Linked DNA regions of Mus musculus. The protein of the gene in region 1 interacts with the protein of each later gene in a pairwise test. Links are inferred from orthologs where the notes say so. Each region holds a gene or a part of one and is shown in the gene's direction. Other genes may lie near its edges.

Evidence for each region.
Region 2: the proteins of Camk2b (region 1) and Ccm2l interact in binary tests that used the Homo sapiens proteins (3 or more experiments, as listed by UniProt). The two-hybrid records come from large-scale screens. The link is inferred for Mus musculus from reciprocal best matches to the Homo sapiens genes CAMK2B and CCM2L.
Region 3: the proteins of Camk2b (region 1) and Rap2b interact in binary tests that used the Homo sapiens proteins (3 or more experiments, as listed by UniProt). The two-hybrid records come from large-scale screens. The link is inferred for Mus musculus from reciprocal best matches to the Homo sapiens genes CAMK2B and RAP2B.
Region 4: the proteins of Camk2b (region 1) and Acot7 interact in binary tests that used the Homo sapiens proteins (3 or more experiments, as listed by UniProt). The two-hybrid records come from large-scale screens. The link is inferred for Mus musculus from reciprocal best matches to the Homo sapiens genes CAMK2B and ACOT7.

Annotation. Positions count from the first base shown.
Region 1 is NC_000077.6:6,061,715-6,068,297, reverse strand, and holds the start of Camk2b (calcium/calmodulin-dependent protein kinase type II subunit beta), read left to right. Parts: upstream 1-2,549; 5' UTR 2,550-2,759; coding exon 2,760-2,824; intron 2,825-6,583. UniProt on the Homo sapiens protein: Calcium/calmodulin-dependent protein kinase that functions autonomously after Ca(2+)/calmodulin-binding and autophosphorylation, and is involved in dendritic spine and synapse formation, neuronal plasticity and regulation of sarcoplasmic reticulum Ca(2+) transport in skeletal muscle.
Region 2 is NC_000068.7:153,075,031-153,080,580, forward strand, and holds part of Ccm2l (cerebral cavernous malformations 2 protein-like), read left to right. Parts: intron 1-1,370; coding exon 1,371-1,434; intron 1,435-3,451; coding exon 3,452-3,581; intron 3,582-4,362; coding exon 4,363-4,501; intron 4,502-5,550.
Region 3 is NC_000069.6:61,361,989-61,368,443, forward strand, and holds the start of Rap2b (ras-related protein Rap-2b), read left to right. Parts: upstream 1-2,518; 5' UTR 2,519-3,068; coding exon 3,069-3,620; 3' UTR 3,621-6,455. UniProt on the Homo sapiens protein: Small GTP-binding protein which cycles between a GDP-bound inactive and a GTP-bound active form. Involved in EGFR and CHRM3 signaling pathways through stimulation of PLCE1.
Region 4 is NC_000070.6:152,216,100-152,219,599, forward strand, and holds part of Acot7 (cytosolic acyl coenzyme A thioester hydrolase), read left to right. Parts: intron 1-1,636; coding exon 1,637-1,793; intron 1,794-3,500. UniProt on the Homo sapiens protein: Catalyzes the hydrolysis of acyl-CoAs into free fatty acids and coenzyme A (CoASH), regulating their respective intracellular levels.

The DNA of each region.
Region 1 (6,583 bases):
TCCTGGCCCAGCCAGGTGACTCCAAGTGTTGCCTCTAATGCTTCGGTCTGGAGGAGGGGCTTCGGGGAAGTCCAGGTGCTCACAGTAACAGAGTAGGGGGAGAGGCCTGGGACACAGTGGGCTTCAAACTGCACTCTTTAGTGACTGCAAAACCGTGTGTAGCACGGCCTACCCAGTTTTGAAAGGTGACAACAAAAGAGTACCCTGAGTGTTGCTGTGACCTCACCCGGTGTGTACATTTGTGTGTTTTGTGTACATGTGTATTGTGTGCTTATGTGCTTGTTTTTGTATATGCATATTTGCATATGTATGTTCATGGATTTTTTTTTTTTTTTTTCTGAGACAGGGTTTCTCTGTGTGGCCCCTGGCTGTCCTGGAATCCAGGCTGGCCTCAAACTCAGAGATCATCTGCTTCTGCTTCCCCAGTGCAGGGATTGAAGGCGTGTGCCACCAACCACTTGGCTGTGTGTATCTTTGTTTGTGTGAAAATAAAGGTGGAGGTGGGAGGGCTTTATGGACAGTCCCAACCACTCCTCTTTTTTGTGACTTTATTTTTATCTTATGAATGTGTGTATATGTATGTGCTCGTGTGCACACATAAGAAGTGTAGACCAGAGGTCAATGCCTGTCTTCCTTGGTCACTTTCCAACTCTATTTTTTATTTGAAACAGGGTTTTTCACTGAAACTGGAGCTTGCCAATCTAGCTAAACTGGCTGGCCAGTAAGCCCCAGGAATCTTCCACTGTCCTTCCCTAGTGCTGGAACCACAGGCTTGTGCTTTCTCACATCCGTTCTGGAGATCGAACTTGGGTCCTTGGCTTGCACAACAAGCCTTCCCTCCAGCTCCCACACTCCTTTCCCGAGTGCTGGTGGAAGGGTGTGTGACTTGGTAGCCTAAAGACAGCCTAACTCCTGGAGGGGTGCAATTGGGTTTCGTTTGTTTTGCTAATTATATTCTGCTGTTCAGCCCTGCCTCCTTCTCCCACCAAAGCTCAGAAAGAGCCAATGCAGCTGCCCTCAGCAGCACTATGGGAGGCGACATCAGCCCCAAGAGCAAGCCTGGCCTACACCCTCACCCCACTCTTCCCGTGCCCATCGCATGGCCCAGCAGCGCATGGTCCAGCGTCCCCATCTAAACTCATACTTTTGGGGGGGCACAGTAGAGTTTCCCTTTCTGCTTGGGGCCAGGGTTCCTATTTTCTCAGCCAGACACTTGTAACTGGGACCTGCACTTGCCCATGCCTGTCTCTTGTTTGCTAGCTGTTTGCTTTCTGGTGGGGCTAGGTCTGTACAGGGACTTGCCAGGAGGCCTAGCTTCCCCTGGCAGCACTCTGTCAAATGTACCTTTAGGAAGACCTCTAGTAGCTGCCCAGCAGAGACCCCTCATTCTCCTAAGAAGACACTTGCTAGACTAAGAAGATCCTGCAGTCCAGGGCTAGTCTTTGGTTGAGATCTGAGTCCATCAAATCTGCTCTTGGGGATCAGTAAGTGGGAAGAATCCAGAAGATCGCCGAACAGTGCCGCCCAAACTGGCTGCAAAGTCCCCCCAGAGGGGCCTGGCTCCAAACACCAAGAGTCAAATCGGGGATGCTGGTTGGGGGTGAGGAGGGGGCCTTGTGGAAATCCACCTGTGCCCCTGGGGGCCTGGCTCCAAACACCAAGAGTCAAATCGGGGATGCTGGTTGGGGGTGAGGAGGGGGCCTTGTGGAAATCCACCTGTGCCCTCCTTCTTCAGGGCCACTTTCAAGAGACTGGAAAGAATGGAGGCTCCTTTTCCTGGCCAGGGCAGAGGGAAAGGGCTGCCCAGGCTATCTGGGCAGGATGGCTGTGAGCTCTCAGAAGTCACAGGAGTCCCTGAAAGAGCTGAGCAGCCCACGTTTTGCTGCCTCAATCTGCACTCCGAATGTTCACCACAGGCAGAAGACATCCTAGTTGCCAGTCCTAGGAGAAGCAGGGAGAGACTCGGGACCACCTCCCTATCCATTTTCTCTCATCCCATTCAGCCTAGGAGACTCGTGGGCAGCTCTGCCACGAATAGGAAGGTGGGAAGGGTCTTATGAGGGGTATGGGGAATGGAGGAGCCCAGTGGAGGGCGACTCCCAAATGGGGTGCAGTTCCCTCCTGCAGTCTAGGGGAGGTGGGCCTTTAGGGGATAAGAGTCTGGGTTCACTGTTCAACTGCGGCAGCAGAAGAGTCAGCCCATTGGCTTGTCCGTGCAGGGCGCGGGCCTAGAGGGTCAGACGCAGTGCGTGGGCACCGTGTGGTGCAGCCCATGTGCTGGGATAGGGCGCGAGCACGGGTGGGATTGCATGGTGCGGGCGCAGTGCGGGTGCCGGCGCGGGCGCGACGGGCATGCGAGGGGAGCCGCGGTGCGGGTGCAGGGTGCGGGCGCAGTGCGCGTGCAGGCGCGGGCGCTAGTGCAGGTACAAGGCGCGGGTGCGGTGAGTGTGCGGGTGCAGGCGTGTGTACGGTGCGAGTGAGGCGCGTGCAAGGGGCGGCGGGCGGGGCGGGCGCGGCGGCGACAGCGGCGCCCGCGCCTCTGCGCGCGTAGGTGTGCGGCGCGCTCCTGGCGGGGACAGAGCGAGCAGATCTCGCGTGCGCTCGCCGCCCGGCGCAGCCCAGCCCGGCCCCCGCCCGGCGCCGCGAGCCGAGGTGTCTCCCGCGCCCGCGCCCGTGTCGCCGCCGTGCCCGCGAGCGGGAGCCGGAGTCGCCGCCGCCCGAGCGCAGCCGAGCGCACGCCGAGCCCGATCGCCACCGCCATGGCCACCACGGTGACCTGCACCCGTTTCACCGACGAGTACCAGCTATACGAGGATATTGGCAAGTAAGAGCCTCGGCGCGCGCGGGCTGTCCGCAGACCCCGGGGAGCAGGGACCCCATCGCCGCCCGCCTCGCGCGCACTGCGGCCCCGCGCGCCCCCGGCTCCTTCCAGCTGCGGGCCCAAGCGCACAGCCCCGTGCAGCCCCGACCCCCGTGCCTTGGGTTCTGGGCCCCGCTCCTCCACCGCAGTGCTTACGGCCCTGCCGGGTGCCATAGCTTAGCGGGGACCGGGACTCAGGGACATGGACGCGGCGCGGCGGGGGCGGCAGCAGGTGTCCCCCGAGCGCCGGGCAGACGTGACGCATTTGGCGGCGGGGAGGTCAGAGAGGAGCGGCACCCGGGGGCGGCTGCCAGGCCTAGAGTGCCCGAGGGGTCGGTCATGGCCTCAGGGGGTCGTCTCCGGTGTGGGCACGCTGTCCTCACCCCCACCCGAGAGGCGGGCGGCAGCGGTAGCGGACCCGCTCCGCGCCTGCTCCTCGCGTGGCCCCATCTGCTTTGGGGGAGCAGCGTGGGAGCAGCTTCTGCCTTGGGTCCCTTGGGGAATCTGGGTTCTAGAGGATTTTCCCCCCAGATTCTTCTGGAAACAAGAACTTGGAGGGGGTGGACGAGGTCAGAGAGCCAGGATCAGGCCGTGGAGTGGGGGTGGGGGTGAGAGAGTGAGGAGAGAGAGACAGGGAACCAGTTGGGCCTCTGATTTCAGGGTCATCGAGGCAGAGAGAGGCTGGCTTCTGGACCTTTTTTTTTTTTTTCCTCCTGTGGTGGGAGGGCTGAGGGGAGGGACTCTAAAGGCGTATTTCTAGTAGGGCCTCGTGGGGAACAGGTGCCCTGGCGCCAAGACGCTGCTCCGCAGTACAAGCAATATGGGGGTGAAGCTATGATTGTGAACGTCCAGACCTGGCTTTGTCCTAGGGTCTCAGAAACAGCGAAGCCCCTCAGGGGCCTGGGGCTTCCCTCTGTGATTTAAGGTGACTGCAGGGGCATCCTTAGGTGCTGGCTGCTTAACTCCAGAGCTGGATCTTCCTTCCCACTCCCTCTCCCCTCCCCCATCCGTCTTGTGCCGTGGGGGCGCTGGCGAGATTTCCTCTTACACATCCAGCCGCAAATCCTTTTTTTCCCTTTACTGAAAAAGCGTCTGAAAGCTTGTGGTGGGCGAGGGACGCTGATCACTGATAATTGTGGAGTGCCCCGCTGGAGGAGTGTGGGGGTGTGTGCATTCCCCACTCCTTCCTGCACGTGCCAACAGGATTTGGGTCAGGTCTTGGGGGGCGGGGGTGAGGAGCCAAGTGGAGTGACAGGAGGAAGTCTATACTGGATGGGAAGGAACAAGGCTGGGTGGACCCGGACAGCCATCCCAGCCTGGAGAGCTCAGCGCCCTTTCAGCGCTGTGCCTCACGCTTGCAGGCGTTGAAGAACCTTCCAGTAGCCTGTGGGGGCATGCTCTGTGAGGAAGAGGTGGTGGGCTGGGGAGTCCTCAGGTGGAGCTAAGGCAGCCTCGGGGTTATGGGGGCCAGCCCTGCAGCTCACAGATCCTCTGATGCCTCGAAGAGCTCTTCCGAGCCAGGTTCATCCCCCCACAGCTGTGTGCTGCCAGGGCAGGTGGCAGCAGTGGGAAGCCTCTCCTTCCTAGGGAACCTTCTTGTCACCTTCTCCTGTATGCCCAGGGGCTTGTCTCCCACCCTAGGCCTCTTGGTATCTTCTGAGCAGTCCACATGAGGAGCCCGTAACCTACAGACCACCTAGGTGGGCTAGTTTTCCCCGTTGGTGGGCGCTGTCCTGGGCCGAGCAGCAACATAAGGTGGCCAGCAGCACCCCCGCTGGGGAACGGCCGCTGGAGGGTGACATTTGCGGTAGACACCAGTGAGGGCTGTCACTACCAGCTCCTTCCTAGGCACAAAAGAATGGCCACTCACCCAAGTGTGGGGAGGCTCCTCAGGTGCTGGGGTGGAGGAGACACTCCAGTCAGGGACAGTCAGCTCAGCCCAGCATATCTTGGTGGAGCCTGCTAGGTGCCAGTCCCCAGGAATGGGCAAGGAAGGATGAAGGGGATGGGACCCTCAAGATACACTGTGGGAACTCAGCTCCCCCAGTAGCCATGTTGGCCATGATCACTAGTGGTTGCTGGTGCCTGCCTACAGCACAGTTGGTACTACTTCAGGGCCCCAGGTAGACACATCCAAGTTTATTTAAAGCTGTCGCCCCTGGCACCGGGTCAGGAGATGCTGAAGTCCCCTGCTTGGCCGGAGGGCTGCACCCAGGCCCACAGCTGCTCTTGGTTCTCTAGTGGCAGCTTTGGACTTTCCCCTCAGGCCCGGGCAGCAGATGGGGTGTCTGAGGAGAATGGCTCTCGGGGGTCCAGCCCTCGAGGCACCTCAATGTGTGTCTTTCTTTGTAGCTAGTTCTTGCCTCGTGGTTCATGTGCTGGGTTGCGGACACGCTGTGAACTCAGGGCCCCAGGAGAAAGCACAGTGCAAAGTGGGGGACACCATCAGTCTATGTGGACCAGCCTTGGTGTGGTTTAAATGATCTCCTATTGGATGCGTTTGAAAACCTCAGAGACCCCAGGAGCGATAACCAGTGGTGTCTCTTCTACCCAGAACTAAAACGGAGTCATCGTTTTACCTCAGTCCTGTCTCAAAATTATAGCAAGTAATTACTACAAATAAATACTAAAGAGCCCATTTTCTTCTGTCTCTTTGTCGCACTTGCACAGACACAAAGATCCCTATCAACACTAGGATTCTTCCCCATTTTCTTGTAACTTTGTAAGATTCCAGAACTGTGCTCTTGGTCAGGATAGTCTTGCAGACACACAAGGTGCTGACAGGCAGCGGCCCTGACTGCCACATGGTGATCGTGGCACGAGCACCACGTATCTATCACCCACCCTGTTCCTTACGGAGAGCTAGGCTGCCTCCTAGTCTCTCTGGTCACATGACCAATGCTGTGCGCATGTTGACTGGCACACGAGTGAGATTTGCTTTGGTGTTTGTCACTGGTGGTAGGGTTTACACATGGCAACGCTTGCCCACTTCCACTGGCTGTGAGCCCAATGCACTGGCCCTGCCTTTGGCAGGTACGAAATGATAGTGGGTGCAAAATGATTGAAAGTTCTGCGTTAACGCATGTGAATTTTCCACTTTTAGAGAGTGGTTGTCTTAATAAAATATAGGTGGTCTCCTTAGAGACTTCCGTAAGTTTTGTATATAATTTAGGGTTCATGGACACTCCTACTTTGGGGGAGAGAGCATGGGCGCCTTGGCTTTGGTATTCTTATAGTAGTGCCTAAGGTTACTCACTACCTGACCAAGCTTGGGCTGTGGAGATCACCTTTGACCTTCAGCCCAGAGAGTTCCCGCCATTCTGGGCCCTGCCCCCATGGGCCTAGACCTGACCTTAAGTGTCCTTGGCGCCATCTCCCATCCCCAGCCACCATCCAGAGCAGGTGCTGCCCACTGTCCAGGATCGTTGTCATCAGCTGTTGGTTCTTCTGACTGGGTGACCTGCTGGGTAGTTGATAAACTTGGGACCTTCCTTGTCCTGGGACTGGGTACAGGAGAAATCTTGTTCTTGCTGCATGTTTGCTTTCTCTTTCCTGCCCTGGAGAACCCCAGGCACAATCTGCCTCCTGGCCTTTGCTAGGGCTACCCTCCCCCTCCCACCAATTTGCTTGCCCCACCCCCCACCCCCTTTCACCTACTCTGTTCAGCATTGTCTTGCTCTCCCTGGGACTGGACCACTCACATGAAAGCAGGAGCTGGGACCC
Region 2 (5,550 bases), on another chromosome or scaffold:
ATTCTTCTTGATGACCTCTTTAGCGATGACCTGATGCTCAGGTTGTCAAGTTTGGGATGAGTTTGAACTTAGGCACTTGAACGTCTCTCTTGTTTTGGGTGTCCCTGCTTTGCAGAAAGTTCAGCATGTGTACTGTCGGCTAGCTGAGCCATCTCACCCCATGAGATTCCTAGGGCTGACATTTCCAGATTAGTCCATGTATGCAATCAAGGGTTGGAATTAAAGTGAGACTAACAGGGACATTTGTTGAGTGCCAGTTATATGCCAAGCACAATAGCCAGATGCCAAGTCTTCTTGAGTCTTTATGGCATCTTACCTTTCACATTCACTTAGCACAGACGTGGACACCTCACAGATGCTAGAGAAGTAGTCTTCAGAGAAATGAAAACTGCTCAGTCCCCAGGCAGGTGAGCTGGCTCAGTGGGGAAAGGGGCTTGCTGCCAACCTTGACAACTGAGTTTCAAAAGTTTCCCCCACGACCTCCACATGGGCACCATGGCACGTGCAAACTCAGACCTAAGCACATTAGTTAATAGTCCCAAGCTTTTGGGACGATGAGGCAGAAGGATCCGAGTTTCAGGTCAGCCTGAGCTGCAGTGGAGAAACTTTATCTTTAAAAAGAAGAAAAAAGATCTGTGCATGGTGGTGATATACATCTTTCATCTCAGCACTTGGGAAGCAGAGGCAAAAAGATCTCTGAGGTCAACACCAACCTGATCTACTGCAAGTTCCAGTCCAGCCAGGGCTACATTGAGAAAAGGGGGAGGGGGTAGAAGAGCCTCTCTGATGTCCCGTGAATCTAGTTTTACAGATAGTAAGCATTGAGGCTCAAGTAGTCACAGGTCACATGGTTGGTAGGTCAGAGTCAGAATCCAAGCTCAGTGTGTCTAAGTTCCAAAGCTTCTGTCTGCATCTCTCCCCCTCCCCCTCCCCTCCCCTCCCCTCCCCCTCCCCCCCCTCTCTCTGCTCCCCTCACAGACATTACATCAATTCCCTCCCCCACAGCCTGCTCTGGAGTGGTCTCTGTTTGCGCAGCCCCAGCAGCTGTGTCACTGGCCTTGTGGAGACCAATGAAGGGTTTAATTCCAACCCTTGATTGCATAAGCCCCAGGTTCCATCCCTACAGCATGTGCACACAAACACACATTTACCAACACTCTCCCACTGCCTCTCATTTATTTGTCAGCTGCTATGGACCTTGGCACTGAGGAAGGCGAGGATTAGGGAGGTCAGTTGCCTGAGGTTAGCTATGTGTCAGGGCTTGACCAGAACTAGATCCCAGGGTGCTGCCAAGGCCAAGGGGTGCAGGGAGCCTGGGATATTGGAGCCTGCATGTCACCTCTGACAGTTCTCCTGTCTGCTGGTCCCAGGTGAGAGCTGTCGTACGGACGGGACGTTTGCCTATGATGCCGACTTGAGCTGCTGCAGCTCCTTGTGAGTATCAGCTCTGTCTGGGACACCAGTTCCTCTCCTCAGCCCCTCCCGAACTCCTACAAGCATGATTTGCCTTTCTTCCAGTCACAGCTTCTTCTTCACCATCCTCAGAGTGGCCTCATGTCCAAGCTGTAGCTCCAACCATGCAACAGCACACCAGTGGCCTCTTAAATGACTTTAGGGAGGATGGAGATCAGAGAATACTACAGCATCACCATGCATGTTCACTGTATGAAAAGCCCTGGGTTCCATCCCTACAGCATGTGCACACACACACACACACACACACACTCACCATCAAGCTTAGATTTTAGTAGTCAAATTTTGGCGGCTTGGTCAGAACTAGCTGCAAGCAAGACTGCAGGCTTCTGCAGGCTCGGGGTGTAGCTCAGCTGGTAGAGTACTTCCCCTGCCATGCACAAAGCCCTGGTTCAATCCCCAGCACTGCATACCCTGATGCACACCTGTCATGTCTACATTCAGAAGGTAGAAGCAAGAGGACCAGAGAGTCACCGCTGGCTACATAATGAGTTCAAGACAAACCTGGGATATATGAAACCTCCCTCAAAATGTTTTAAAAACAATTCTGTTAGAAACATTGCCCATCCCCGTTTGCTCAGGATTGAGGAGTTTCCCAAGATATGGGATTTTCAGTTTAAATCCAATAAAACCCTCAGCAGGCCTGTGGTAGGGAGTTATCCTGGTCCTGTAAAGATTCTGATGTTGGCAAGTAGTGGCCCCTGCCAGTGGCCTGTGCCCTACCATACCAATGTTGATATTGGCACTACATTTGTATTCCCGAACCCATGTGTGTATAAACTAGCCCATAACTGACCTGATTTAGCAGAGGTGAGCAGAATCACACTAAGGACCCATTCGCTGAGCTTGCCATGTGATTGTGTATCATTGGCTTTTGTTAGCTGCTGTGTGGCTAGTTATCTGTTACGTGGGCTCTACAGTCTGAAGTGCTTGACAAACGTTAGTTCCTGTCATTTTTCACAGTGACACCAATCTTCATCATCCCATTTTACAGATGGAGAAGCTGAAGATTAGGGAAACAAAGTTTAGCATCCCAAGGGTCAGACAGACTTGGCTTGTGAGCAGAAGCAGGCTGGAATGCGAACTCAGGAGTCTACGCCCTTGCTAGGTCTGTGTTCCCAGACTTCTGGAGGTGGAAGTCAGAGTGTTAAAAGTTCAAAGCCCAAGCCCAGTGAGGTCATCTTATTTTAAAAGTAGTGAATAATGAGAACTTCCTACATTGGGCTGGGGGTGATCCAGAGATAAGAGAGTGTTTGCCTAGGATATCAGAGGCTTTCATTCCAACCCTCCCTGTCACTGCATAAACCTGGCTGGGTGGTTCATGCAACAACGTCAGCCCTGGGAGGTTGGAAGCAGGAGGATCAGAAGGTCAAGGCTAATCTCTGCTACATAGAGAGCTTAAGACCATTCTAGGACATGTGAGACCCTATCAAAAAACAAAACCCTCCACGATGATCCGGGCAGCCTAGTTTATAAAAAAGAACTCAGCAGAGAGAAAGGAGAAGGGCCACACAATTCAGCAGAGGTGGCAGCCAGCAGTGATGACGCCACACTGACAAGGAGCTTCCTGGGCTATGGGAGAGTCAGAAGGGGACTCTACCTTATCCAGGAACCAGGAGGGCTTCCTGACAACAGCTGAGCTGGAAATAAAGGGGACAGGTCATTCCATGCAGAGGGGAACAGTGAGAATTCAGAATAAGCAGGTAGAGGTCCTGTGGCTGTGACATCAGACGTGAGAGAGACAGTGGCGGAGAAAGAATTCCAGGCAGAGGGAGCGGCGTGTGCAAAGGCCCAGGATGGGGTAAGGAAAGGTGACCCGAGTGCCCAGAGCAGGAAGGGACTTGAAAGGTTGCTGGGCTTTGATGAGCAAGACGAGGTCTGGATAGCCTTGAGCACTGGTATAGAGGCCCAACCACCTTTAGCCTCCCTAGGGAAAGGAGCAGAGGTTGGTGAGGCTACTTCCATCCTTTCTGTGCAGCAATGGCTCCCAGGACACATTTGAAGCGTGCTACAGTGGCGCATCCACACCGTCTTTCCACGGCTCCCACTGCAGCAGTATCGACCACAGCAGCTGGGCCTTCGAGCAGCTACAGGATTACATGGTCACGGTGAGCATGAGTGGGCGGCAGAGCTCCGCAGCAAGCATGGCTCAGAGATCAGGGAAGGAGGTGTGACCAGGAGAGGCCAGCTTAGAGAAGCCTGGACTGGTGTCAGCCTGCACTGAATGTCTTGGGCACCTCTCCTGCATCTTGTCTTTCATCTCTTCAGCAACCTCAAGAGGGAGGCTCCCTCCTCACCCCAAATACAGAGAAGGAAAGCAAGGGTCAGAGAGATAATGACATCCTGCCACCACAGAGGAGGTCACCAAAGGATTGGGACTCAGGAAGCTGGACCCATATTCCATTTGTTTTACTGCTGTGAACGGACACCATGACCAAGGCAACTCTTATAAGGACAACATTTAGTTGGGGCTGGCTTACAGGTTCAGAGGTTCAGTCCATTATCATCAAAGCGGGAGCATGGCAGCATCCAGGCAGGCATGGTGCAGGAGGAGCTGAGAGTTCTGAACCTTCATCTGAAGGCTGCTAGCAGAATACTGACTTCCAGGCAGCTAGGTTGAGGGTCTTAAAGCCCACACCTACAGTGACACACCTACTCCAACAAGGCCATACCTTCTAATAATGCCACTCCCTGGGCTAAGCTTATACAAACCACCACACCATTCTGAGATGCAAAGGACCAGATGTTGACCCTCCAGTAGGCAGTGGAAGATTTTGCAGGCAGGCTGGGCCTGACAGAATGCCAGAAAGAACCTCAGCATTTTTAGCAGAAGTCAGGTGGTGTTGCAGTCTGGATCTGGTCCCCAAGGGGTATCCTTCACTCCCACAGCTGCGGAGTAAGCTGGGTCCTCCTGAGATCCAGCAGTTTGCATTGCTGCTACGAGACTATCGTCTGGGGCTGCCTATCCAGGACTACTGTGCAGGTCTGCAGAAACTCTATGGGGACCGACGGAAGTTCCTTCTCATTGGTAAGCCCCACTCCCCCTTGGCTCCAGGCATTCCCAGCTAGGCACCACCTGGGAGCACTTTGTTTTCTGAGCCCCTAAAGCCCAAGACTTTGAGAACCTGGACCTGAGGAGAGCAAGAAAGAGTGCAGAAAAGGGAATAGGATCGCCAGGAGGTGGCAATGCTCAAACTGGCAGGAGCAGAGCCCTAGAGTAGCAAAGCTGGTTAGGCTGTGATCACACACACACACACAGGGGGGGGGGAGGGGGAGGGGGGAGAGAGGGAGAGAGAGGGAGGGAGGGAGGGGGAGGGGAGAGGGGGAGGGAGGGGAGGGGGAGAGGGAGAGCGAGAGGGAGAGGGAGAGAGGGAGAGGGAGATAGGAGGAGGGAGAGGGGGGAGAGGGAGAGAGGGAGGAGAGGGAGAGGAGAGAGGGAGAGGGGGGAGAGGGGGAGAGGGGGAGAGGGGGAGAGGGGGGGAGAGGGGGGAGGGGGAGAGGGAGAGAGGGAGAGGGAGAGAGGGAGGGGGAGAGGGGGAGGGGGTGGGGAGGAGGCGGAGATGGGGGGAGAGGGAGGGGAGGGGGAGGGGGAGGAGAGGGGGAGGGAGGAAAGGGAGAGGGCCTATCTCAGCCTCAGAGGGGCAAAGCAACTTGTCTGGAGTCACACAGCTAGTGAAGAGGGTTGCTAAGCACCATAGGAATACTACTGACAGCATAGGAGCATGTGTCTGGTAGTTGTCGTGAGCCAAGCATGATCTCATAGACTCTCCCCACTCCTGAGAAATAAATATTACTATTTCGTCCCCATTTGCATGCGAAGAGACTGAGATTCACAGTAGCAAAGTAAAGTAAAGACATTAAAGATCCAGAAAGGGACGCAAGTAAATCTAATGTTTATGGGGCTCAGCATGGGAAGTAACTTAGTACACTTGCATCAAATCAGACGCAAAGACCTGTTGTACAGGTGAGAAAAGTGAGGCTTGAGTAGTTATTTAACTAAGGTGGTATAGCCGATAAATGGGAGTATATTCTTAAGACTATATTAAGCTAGCAAACACGCGGGGAGTCTTGTGTCAT
Region 3 (6,455 bases), on another chromosome or scaffold:
TCATTATTATCTCCCTGGAATGCACCAAACTGCTGCAGAGAGCAGCCAGAACACCAAGGCTCTGACTCTGCTCACCTTTCTGCTGTAAAGAGAGGGCACTGCTGTTCAAGGTACCTAGTACTGTCCTGCGGGCAGGGCCAATTTCATAATCACTATTTTATAGATAGACAAACTAAGGTTAGGAAGCTCCCTGGACTCGTTCAATGACCCAAGCCGTCACTGAGCGAGGTCCAAAGTTTGAAATGACAGACTACACATATAAGCTGGAAGCATTTTCTTTCATGTTACTAAGAAACACACCTTTGTGAGCCCACAGCACCTCAATAAAGCACACAGCCCAACAAAGAATTATTAACTGGAGATGGGTGAGTTGGGAGTCCCCCAAAAGATCCTGGAGGTGGGCTTGGCACCACACAGAAAAATATTTCAGAGTCTCCATCCCTTGGAGCCATAATGTAGATGAGGAAGCGCCTTCCAGAGAGATGTCATCTCCACAAGAAGAGTGCAAAGCACGGTCATAGCAGAGGGTCCATCTCTGATTATATTACGAAATTCTACATGAGAAGAAAAGCTGGGGATAATTTTGTGGGAAAGCACACTAGCCCTTTGAGTGCTATACAATCAAACACCTAGGTTGTAATCCTGGCTCTGCCACTCTTAGGCAAGCTATTGAACACCTGGGAGCCTCAGTTTCTTCATCTTTAAAATGGGCATATAAGTAATTATTATTATAAGGGGTAATTGAGATAGTGCATGCAAAACACTTGGCAGGCATTAAACACTGGCAGAATGTTGGCAGGGTTCTAGCCGGCTATATTAAAGTTTTGCTTCAGAGATAATTCTCTGAAGAATTATATAAGCATAATTATATCGAAGCAGTCAGTAGTCGACCATGAAAACCCTTCCTCCACTAAAAGGCAGAGCCAAGGCAGAGAGAAAGCACTTCACCTTAGTAAGGCACAGGATTATACTGAGGTTCTGCCTGGCTCTGCTGGCAGGTACTTGCGGCTGTGGACACTCGGGGCCGCAGCCAAGAATCTGGAGCAGGTTCACTCCCAAATGGAGCCCTAAGTACCGCTGTGACTTGGAACCAAAAGCAACACTGCTCGGTTCTTCCTTCCGTGAGGACGTTTAAAGCAGAGGCTAGTGGCAGGGGGATAGCAAGCCTGGCTACTTAACCCTGGTTGACTCGACACAAAGCCGATCCCCACCCCTCTGTGCCCCCGGGCTCCCGCTGCCAGTGCAGTACACAGACAGGTCTCGACATCTCTCCTAGCAAGGATCTAGAGAGACTCGGGACAAGTCCAGGCGTCACCTCACATCGCCGTGCAACTGAGCGGAGCCAAGTCTTGAGACTGCCCTCCCCACCAAACAGAGCTTTGGGAAGAGGCAAGCCCGGGCAGCCCCACCTCCCCTGATGCCACGAACTTGCGGTGGCTCATTGCTCATCCCAGCCTTCTTCCTGCTAAGATCAAGTTAGGAACTTCAGGGTTTCTTAAAGACGGGGAGCAGCAATGAGCTCTAGTTGCTCTCTTTAAGGGACGGTCGTGACTGGGCTTAAAGAAGTCAGACTCCCTCCTGAACACCAACAAAGGACTATATTTAGTTTGGAGCACTCCACCTAAATTCCTTCTTTTCCCCTCTCAGCTTCAGATGCACAGGCCCGGGCAGTGGGTGGAAGGGGGCGGGGAGCAGTGGAGAAGGAACAGCTGGGCCTCCGCCTCTCCACTCAATCTCTATAAATAACCAATCCTGAGCGGAGGCGACTTTGCAGCCAATGAAGCTGTCTAAAGCGACAAAACCTCAGCAACAGCCAATGGAAAAACATTTGGGGGTGTGAGACTCACATCCTGGGGCCAATGAGTTGGGAGTCTGGGAGAGGTAATTTGAGCTGGCGTGTGGGTGTGCGGTGCGAAACCTTCCTACTTGCAAGCCCCAAACCTGCTCCTCCGACTGAGCATGCCCTGACTCGGTGCGGGAGCCACGGGGCTCGATCCACAAGCCATATTTTGGCTCTAACCAAAGGGGTGTTGGGGAGGGGGGAGACGTAGGATGACCCCGCAACTCTTGCCCTGAAGGCTGCAGCTCTCCACAGATTCCCAGCCCTAACTCCTTGTCCGGACAGGGACTCAGGTCGAGTTCTTCGTGGGAAACTGAGGAACACCGGGCCAAGTGGGAGCACGAACCTCTGCTACCTTCCGGGGCCTGAAAAATGCCCTGCAAGTGTACGATCCTGAGAGGCGCGCAGCAGCCTGAGTTCGGGGACAAGTGTCTATCCTTTAACAGCGCAAGCCGACGAAGAGGTCGCAGCCAGCTGCTGCCTGCTGTCCCCATAGGAGGCCGGCAGCCGCACAGCCCCGACCGAGGTGACTTCGGTTTGGCGAGCTTTCCACTTACAAGCACACACAAGCAAGACTGCCCAGTTCCAAGATTCGCGCCGCCCCGCCCTGCCCCGCCCAGCCCCTGTTTGCCACACCCTCTGTCACGCCCCCTCCCGATGCGGCGGAAAAGCTGGAGCGGAGTTCGGGCGGGGCACCGCGGGCGACGTACTGGGCATGCTCGGCTGGGCGGGGAGGGCTGGGCTGCGCGCGGCGAGTAGGAAGCCCTCGCCCAGCGGAGGCTGCGGGAGACAGAGGAGAGAGAGTGATGGGTCGCGGAGCTGGACGCACGTTCCGCGGGGACTCATGCCACGCGTGTCTCAGCCGGACGCCCAATTAGCAGCCGCCTCTGCAACCAGCCGCCACCTCCTCCCGGCCCTCCCAGGCTGCCGGGGCGAAGAGCTCCAGCCGTTGTCTTGCTCCGGCTGCGCGCATTGTCCTCAGGGTCCTCCGACAGGGCTGCTGCGGGGCCCGGGACCCGCGCCCTAGGGACGCGCCCCCGCTGCCGGTCGGCCTGGCGCGGGGCTCTGCTAGTCTGTTGGCGAGCCCGTGCTACCGGGCTAGTCTCGCCGGGGTTTTTCCTGCGAAGTTGAGGAAGGGGAGAAGTCCACCCGTCCGCCCAGCCCAGCCTTCCCCGGCGCGCAGCCCCGACGGGGCCGCGGCAGGCGCGACGAGGGCGCCGACGGAGCCATGAGAGAGTACAAAGTGGTGGTACTGGGCTCGGGCGGCGTGGGCAAGTCCGCGCTCACCGTGCAGTTCGTAACAGGTTCCTTCATCGAGAAGTACGACCCGACCATCGAGGACTTTTACCGCAAGGAGATCGAGGTGGACTCGTCGCCGTCGGTGCTGGAGATCTTGGACACCGCGGGCACGGAGCAGTTCGCCTCAATGCGGGACCTGTACATCAAGAATGGCCAGGGCTTCATTCTCGTCTACAGCCTGGTCAACCAGCAGAGCTTCCAGGACATCAAGCCCATGCGGGACCAGATCATCCGCGTGAAGCGGTACGAGCGCGTACCCATGATCCTGGTAGGCAACAAGGTGGACTTGGAGGGTGAACGTGAGGTCTCCTATGGCGAGGGTAAGGCCCTGGCCGAGGAGTGGAGCTGCCCCTTCATGGAGACATCGGCCAAAAACAAAGCCTCAGTGGATGAGCTATTCGCAGAGATCGTGAGGCAGATGAACTACGCGGCACAGCCCAACGGCGACGAGGGCTGCTGCTCGGCCTGCGTGATCCTGTGAGGCGCCGTCTGCCGCCGGGCGCTGGCCACGCTCTGTGCACAAAGCCAAACGCACCCGATTCTCTTAATGTGATTGTCTTCTTGCTTTGAGATTGGAGACGACTTTGTTGTCTTGGCTGGGATGTCCGAGGAACCTGGCTGACTTGTGTAGCCAGCATCCCCAGCCTTCAGCCAGGGTCTGAGAGGGTGTACGTTGCAGAGCATCTGAGACCCCGGTGGAAAAATGGCTCTATACAGCGTGTACGTTCCTCGTTGATTTTGGTTCATGCATATTTCCCCGTTTAAATAGCCATTAAGGCTCTGTATTGGCTGCTTGACACCGGCAAGCAAAAGTTTCAAACCTGAAAAAAAAAAAATGGGGGTGGCGAAGCAGAGGAAGTGAAGGGGAAGGAGGCAGTGGGGGAGGGTTCCCCTGAGCAACTGTTCATAGTTCCAAGTTTTAACACAAGGAAAGAGGTCCAAGAAAATCATATGAAGGAGCCAGAAGAGGGGACGAAACTTTTTTTCCTTGTTTTCCAGGATTATTTAGAAATTAAGACCAGGGGTTCCTTTTCTGCCAGCTTGGAAGGGCAACCCAGGGACTGATTACGATTCTGAGGATGTCTATGCAAAGTTGGGTTCTTGTTACAGTGTATCCAATCTGAAGTATTGCACATGTGAACTGGGACTGTTTAACACTGATGCCAATACAGTGTGGGGTGCCAGGAAGTGTCTGCTGATATTTGTGGGGAAAAAAAATCTATTTTGATTACCTACTGTATCAAAGGGGAGTCTGGGGGGAGAATGGTAGTATTTTTTTTTAATCAGCTGTGAAAAATGTTACAAATCTGCACATTTTTTGTGTGTGCTATTGTGTGTGTGTGTGTGTATGAGTGTAAGTATAGCTTTTTTTTTTTTTTTTTTTTTTTTTTGTGGTTGGCAGTGACAGATTTTGCTGACTAGCTTTTAAAAATACAATACAAAGACTTCGTAAATGTGATTCAGGGCGCCCAGCACCCCTGTGTCTGCAGAGTGCCTTCAAACTCAGCTGTTCCAGCCGGTGCCAACCTGTGAATTCCCACCATGTCCCAGAATCTGCTGTTCTGCTTTCCCCAAAACTACTTTAAGCATCTTCCTGAAAGAGCCAGGATGAATAGGACCTGTTATTCCGTGAATTGCTTCATTAATTTTAGCTTTTTTTTTCAATGTTAAGTCCATAAGTCTTGAATTTTTTCCCCCTTCATTTTGTTCTAATTTCAGGTTTTAGCTCTCCTTTTCTGTTGTTTTCGAAATGTCTGTTATCTGTTACAGGGTGTTCCTCCAGAGGCAAAGAGCAAAATTTTATTGTGATGTACCAAAAGAATTTTAACAAGTTGTAACTTTTAATTCCACTCATTTAGTCACTGTCTCTTCATTTTAAGACTTTTAATACAACTGTCATTTTTAAAGAAACCCCAAACTATTTGTGGTTTTGTGTTTCATATTCAGTGATTTACAGTCTCCGTGAATATGGTGCCAGGCGGGGAGGTGGATCGGGCCAGGTCCATGATGCCTTTTGAGTTATGTGTCAAAATTTGAAGATAGGATTATTTCTATGAAAAATTGGGTAACAATGTTTCCAAGTCTTTAAAAGTGGAGAAAAGTATCAAGGCCTAAGACTCACAGGGTATGGCCAGGGCATCTGACTGTCCAGATGAGGAAGCACTGCTCTGCTGAAGAAGAGTAATGAACTTTACTGTTGATAGCAAAGGGGCAAGTCCCCCCCTCCCCGACTCCCCCCCCACCCCCAGCTAGTAACACCCTCTTAGGCCTGGGAAAGCAAAGTGGACCTGGCAGAATAACTAACAGGGGCACTTTCTATTTGTCTTGGTTTGATGTTGTCTGTTTATGTCCCACACCGAGTCAGAAGTGATCTTAACTTTGATCTCACACACCCTGCCCTCTACAACGTATGGATGGAATACAATTATTCTAGCCGTTATTTCAACCCTTCCAAAGTTTTTATTTGGAACCAAATCAAAGATTGAGAACAAAAAGTAAACAAGACGAAGAGGATTCCCTTGCTCTCCTTCTATTTGCCCACAACAGTTTTTAAAAGTAGGAGGCAATGTGTGTTGGTGTTTTATTTGTATTTTGCTTGGGCTCTCCAGTACAATAATCTTTACAGAATAACAAAGTATCTATAAGATATAATACCACAGGTTCCTGAGGCAAAGCTGATGTCTGAAGAGTCTTAACTAAGGAATTTACTCCCTTGGCAAAGCCAAAAGAGATCACAGGTTTCTTTAAAGCTATAACAATATATATTGCCTTAATTTTTTTTTTTCTCCATCCAAGTTGCATCTCATCATTTCGTGGGCAGGAAGAACATTTTGCCTGTCCTGGCCTTTGTTTATTCTCCAACTCGGATCTCACATCTCCATTAGTGTCAGATGTGATTCTGCTTCCAAGTATACAAATTGAAAAATAATGTTTTTACAAGAATTCATTCTTAACATTTGAACGAGTGTATTTGCTTAGGTCGATGAAAGTGTTGCACATTTAAAGTGTTGACGCATTTTGAAGATGTGTCAAGCACTGTTGGAGGGGTTGCTTTTTAAAAAAATGCTTATGGTGGCCCTCTTCTCATGATTTGGAAGGCTTTGAACAAAAGTGTTGCCAAGTATATAGCTCAGAAAATACTTGAAGGTGGACAGTGATCTAGATTGTTGGTGCATTAATCACCTCTCCAGAGGCTTCCCAGAGGTCATGGAAGGCAGGGCAGGCTTTTGAAAACATGTTTCTACTGAGTACTGTAAAATAAATGCTTTTGGATTGTACAATTAAAGCTGCTGCAGGAAAATGGAGCCCTGAGTTG
Region 4 (3,500 bases), on another chromosome or scaffold:
CCTGTACTCCACTGCTGCTGCTGCTCTTGGTGGTCATCTCATGGTACTGGCATCTCCAAAACACTGCGTGGCCCTTTCAGTCCTGGGCCTTCAATTGCAATAAAGGCACCCTGAGGTGCCTGTGGCCCTGGCGGGGTGGGGGTGGGGGTCACTGCTGGCCTTTTAAGGGCTCTTTGGTAGTGCATATCGGAACACTGACCCCTGAAGTGCAGAGGATGTTGGGTGTGAAGGTCATCGCTACAGCATTGCTTATGCTACACCACAACTGAAGCTGGTATGTGTCTAACACAAGATGGAGATCCCTAGTCAGTCTGATCACTAAAACAATTGCCAGGTCCCCAGGAATAGGTGTGGAAGACACAACTGGTGTTCAGCCTTTGTGAAGGGTTCAGTACCTACTTATTTATCTATTTATTGAGTCTTTTTAAGACCAGGTCTTGTTTTGTACCCTAGGTAGACCTCAGACACAGGTACCTTGTGTAGCCCAGGCTTGCCTTGGAACCTTCCCCTCCACTCCTCGTCGTCCTGTCTTTCTTAATGCTGGGATGCAGGTGTGTGTCCCCAGGCCCTACCTAATGGCCTTGTGTTAATCTGATAATCATGCTCTTCAGCCGTGAGCCCAGAAGAAGGGCTTTACAAGACTTGAGTCCATTGTGTCTTTATCTCAGACTTCTAGTCTGAAAATTGGAGAGATGAAGTTTTACATCCAGCTTAATTTTTGTTTCAGCAGCCCTAACAGACTAAGAAGCAACCTATAGGACAGTCTAGGTTAGACAAAGACTCAGCCTGTAGGACAGTCCAGGTTAGACCAAGACTCAGCCTGTAGGACAGTCTAGATTAGACTGCAAGGGGTGGGTTTTGAGGGTGAAGAGCAGTTAGTCACCATGCTTGCATCCACCATCTGGGCCTCACTGTGGGTTGATGCCATGTACCCAGGGCTTGCAGGTGACTCAGGGACAAACTGGCTGGAGCTATACCTGGTGCCAGATGCTCTTTTAATAATTTAGAATTTTGAATCATGAGACTGGGTCATCTGTTTAAAGGTTCAGAGTGTGTATGTGGGGGGCGGAAGAGAGAAAAGACAGAGAGACAGAGTCTACTAGTCTCTAGTGCCCTGGGAATGCCACTTCCATAGATGACCTGTTCTGTTCCTGTGTACTCTCTGGCCAGTCCCTCTGGTACCACATTGAAGGTAGATAACATAGCAACAATAGGAAGATGCCTTTTCCTTGTTGAGGAAGATGCGACTGTGAAGATATATTTGGCAGGTGCATAGCTACTACCTAACACTAAAGCAGGCCAGAAGAGAGGCAAGGCAGCCAAGCCCGACCTGAGCCCTAATCGCTTCTCTTGGGAAGGGGAGTGAGGCTACCCCCTTTCTATCTCTGTGTGCTTTTCCAATATTCCTTGTGAAGCAGCAGTGCATGTTGATTGTAGAAAAATAAGAAGAAATGTCCTGGTAAGCACATGGCAGTGACTCTGAGGTACTCTCTAGTGTCTCTCCAACTTAGGCTAGAAGTGTCCCTCAGTCCCATTATTCTACAGTGAGGAACAAAGCAGGCAGTTTTGCAGAGCATCTCTGTCATAAGGACTTGCTGGGCTGGACTGGGCTGATGGCTTTTTCTGGTCTTTGCAGGAGCGCTGTGTGGCTGCCCTGGCACGGGTGGAGCGCACTGACTTCCTGTCACCCATGTGCATCGGCGAGGTGGCTCATGTCAGTGCAGAGATCACCTACACTTCCAAGCACTCTGTGGAGGTCCAGGTCCACGTGATGTCGGAGAACATCCTCACAGGTAACTAACTCCCAGGTGCTTCTCACCAGCCAGCACGCTCAGCGGTAGCATCTTTGAGCACGGATCACAATAGTGTTCTGGTTCGCTTTTTGTTGTGGTGGTGAAACATGAACCAAAACTAACTTGGGGAAGAAAGGCTCTGTTTTGGTTTAGAGGCCACAGCCATCACTGGGGAGACCATACTGAAGCAGAGGTGGTGGAGGAATGCAGTTTACAGGCTCCCTCCCTCTGGCTTGCTCAGCTGCCTTTCTTACACAGCCGAGGCCACCTGCCTAGGCATGGTATACTCTTCTGCATCAATCGGCAGTTTAGAAGATGTTGCCAAGACACGGTCACAGGCCAGTCTGATCTCAGCAATTCTTTAGTTGAGGTTTTTTTCTTCCCAGGTGACTGTTTGTATCAAGTTAGTAGCCGAAGCTGACTGTGGCAACAGCTTGTTCATGCATGGAGGGCTGACCATGCCCAGGCGCTGACGTCCTTGCTGTATGACCTCTTTGGTCCTCTTGCTCCCTGAGCAGAGTCTTCACTCCCTGTGTGTCTGCAGTTGGCAGATGGAGCACCGGTGGATTACAAAGCACACTTGAGCCCTCTTCCAGCCAGAACAGGAGTCCCAGCCTGCTCCCTCTCCTTCTTGAGACCACTTAGTCAATGGCTGCCACCTGTGCCTCTGTATCTACCCCGCTATTCTAGACCTTGGCTTGTATGACTTTGCAGAGGCTCCTGGACCAATCTGTCCCTGCCCATCTAGAAACCAGGTTGGGTGAGCCATTGCCTTTGGTTCATCTGTACCTTTTCCTTGGCTGTGGTAACCATGGAAACCTTTCTCCTCTTCTCTGTTGGCATCATGAGTGTGGAGCTCCTTCCCATGAAGAGCTTATGTTTCTTTTGTAACCTGGCTGGGAGCGCAGGCCCTTTTGCCCAACTCTGCCTGTGGTCCATATGCCTTGCAGGTTGGGCTGCTTCGTTCTTTCCTCCGTTCCCAGGTCTCTGCAGTGGTGACCTCATGGAGTGGTGACCTCATGGAGTGGTGACTGAGGGCTGACTAAGGGGCTCAGGTCTTTTTGGGAATGGCTAAGAACAGAGCTCTCCATCTGGAACATTCCAATGATTTCAGCAGGGATGGACTCAAATGGGCTGTGTGAGCCCAGCCACTATGTACTGGGAGGCTGCGAGGCCTCTGCTCTGCTCTCAGGCCCTTTGGCATTAGAGTGTCCCTCCGGCCATGGCACAGGAAGGGACAGCTATGTACCACTAGGGGAAGAGAGGCCAGCGCAGGGAGGGTTTGCCATCTGTCCTATGGACCTTCCTCTGCTGGGTCTAGCTGGGGTTGCTGTCACCTCTGACCACCCCTGGGGTCCTTGGTCTTCATGTTTGTTTGAAACCAGCCAGTAGATCTTTTCACTGTGGGAACCTTCAGCTTCAGAAACTGTATGGGGCCTGCCTTAAGAATGGATTCCCAAGGGAATATCAATGGCTCAGTGCTTAAAAGCACTGGCTACTCCTAACAGAGGACCTGGGTTTGATTCCTAGGATGCACATGGTGGCTCACATCTGTCTTAACTCCAGTGTCAGGGCATCTGTTGCCCTCTTCCTGCCTCCAAGGGCACCAGATGTGCACACAGTGTACACACATGCATATTTACACACATAAAATAATATAGTTTAAAAGAAATCACATTTCTGCCTAATCTGTAACAACCAAAGCCT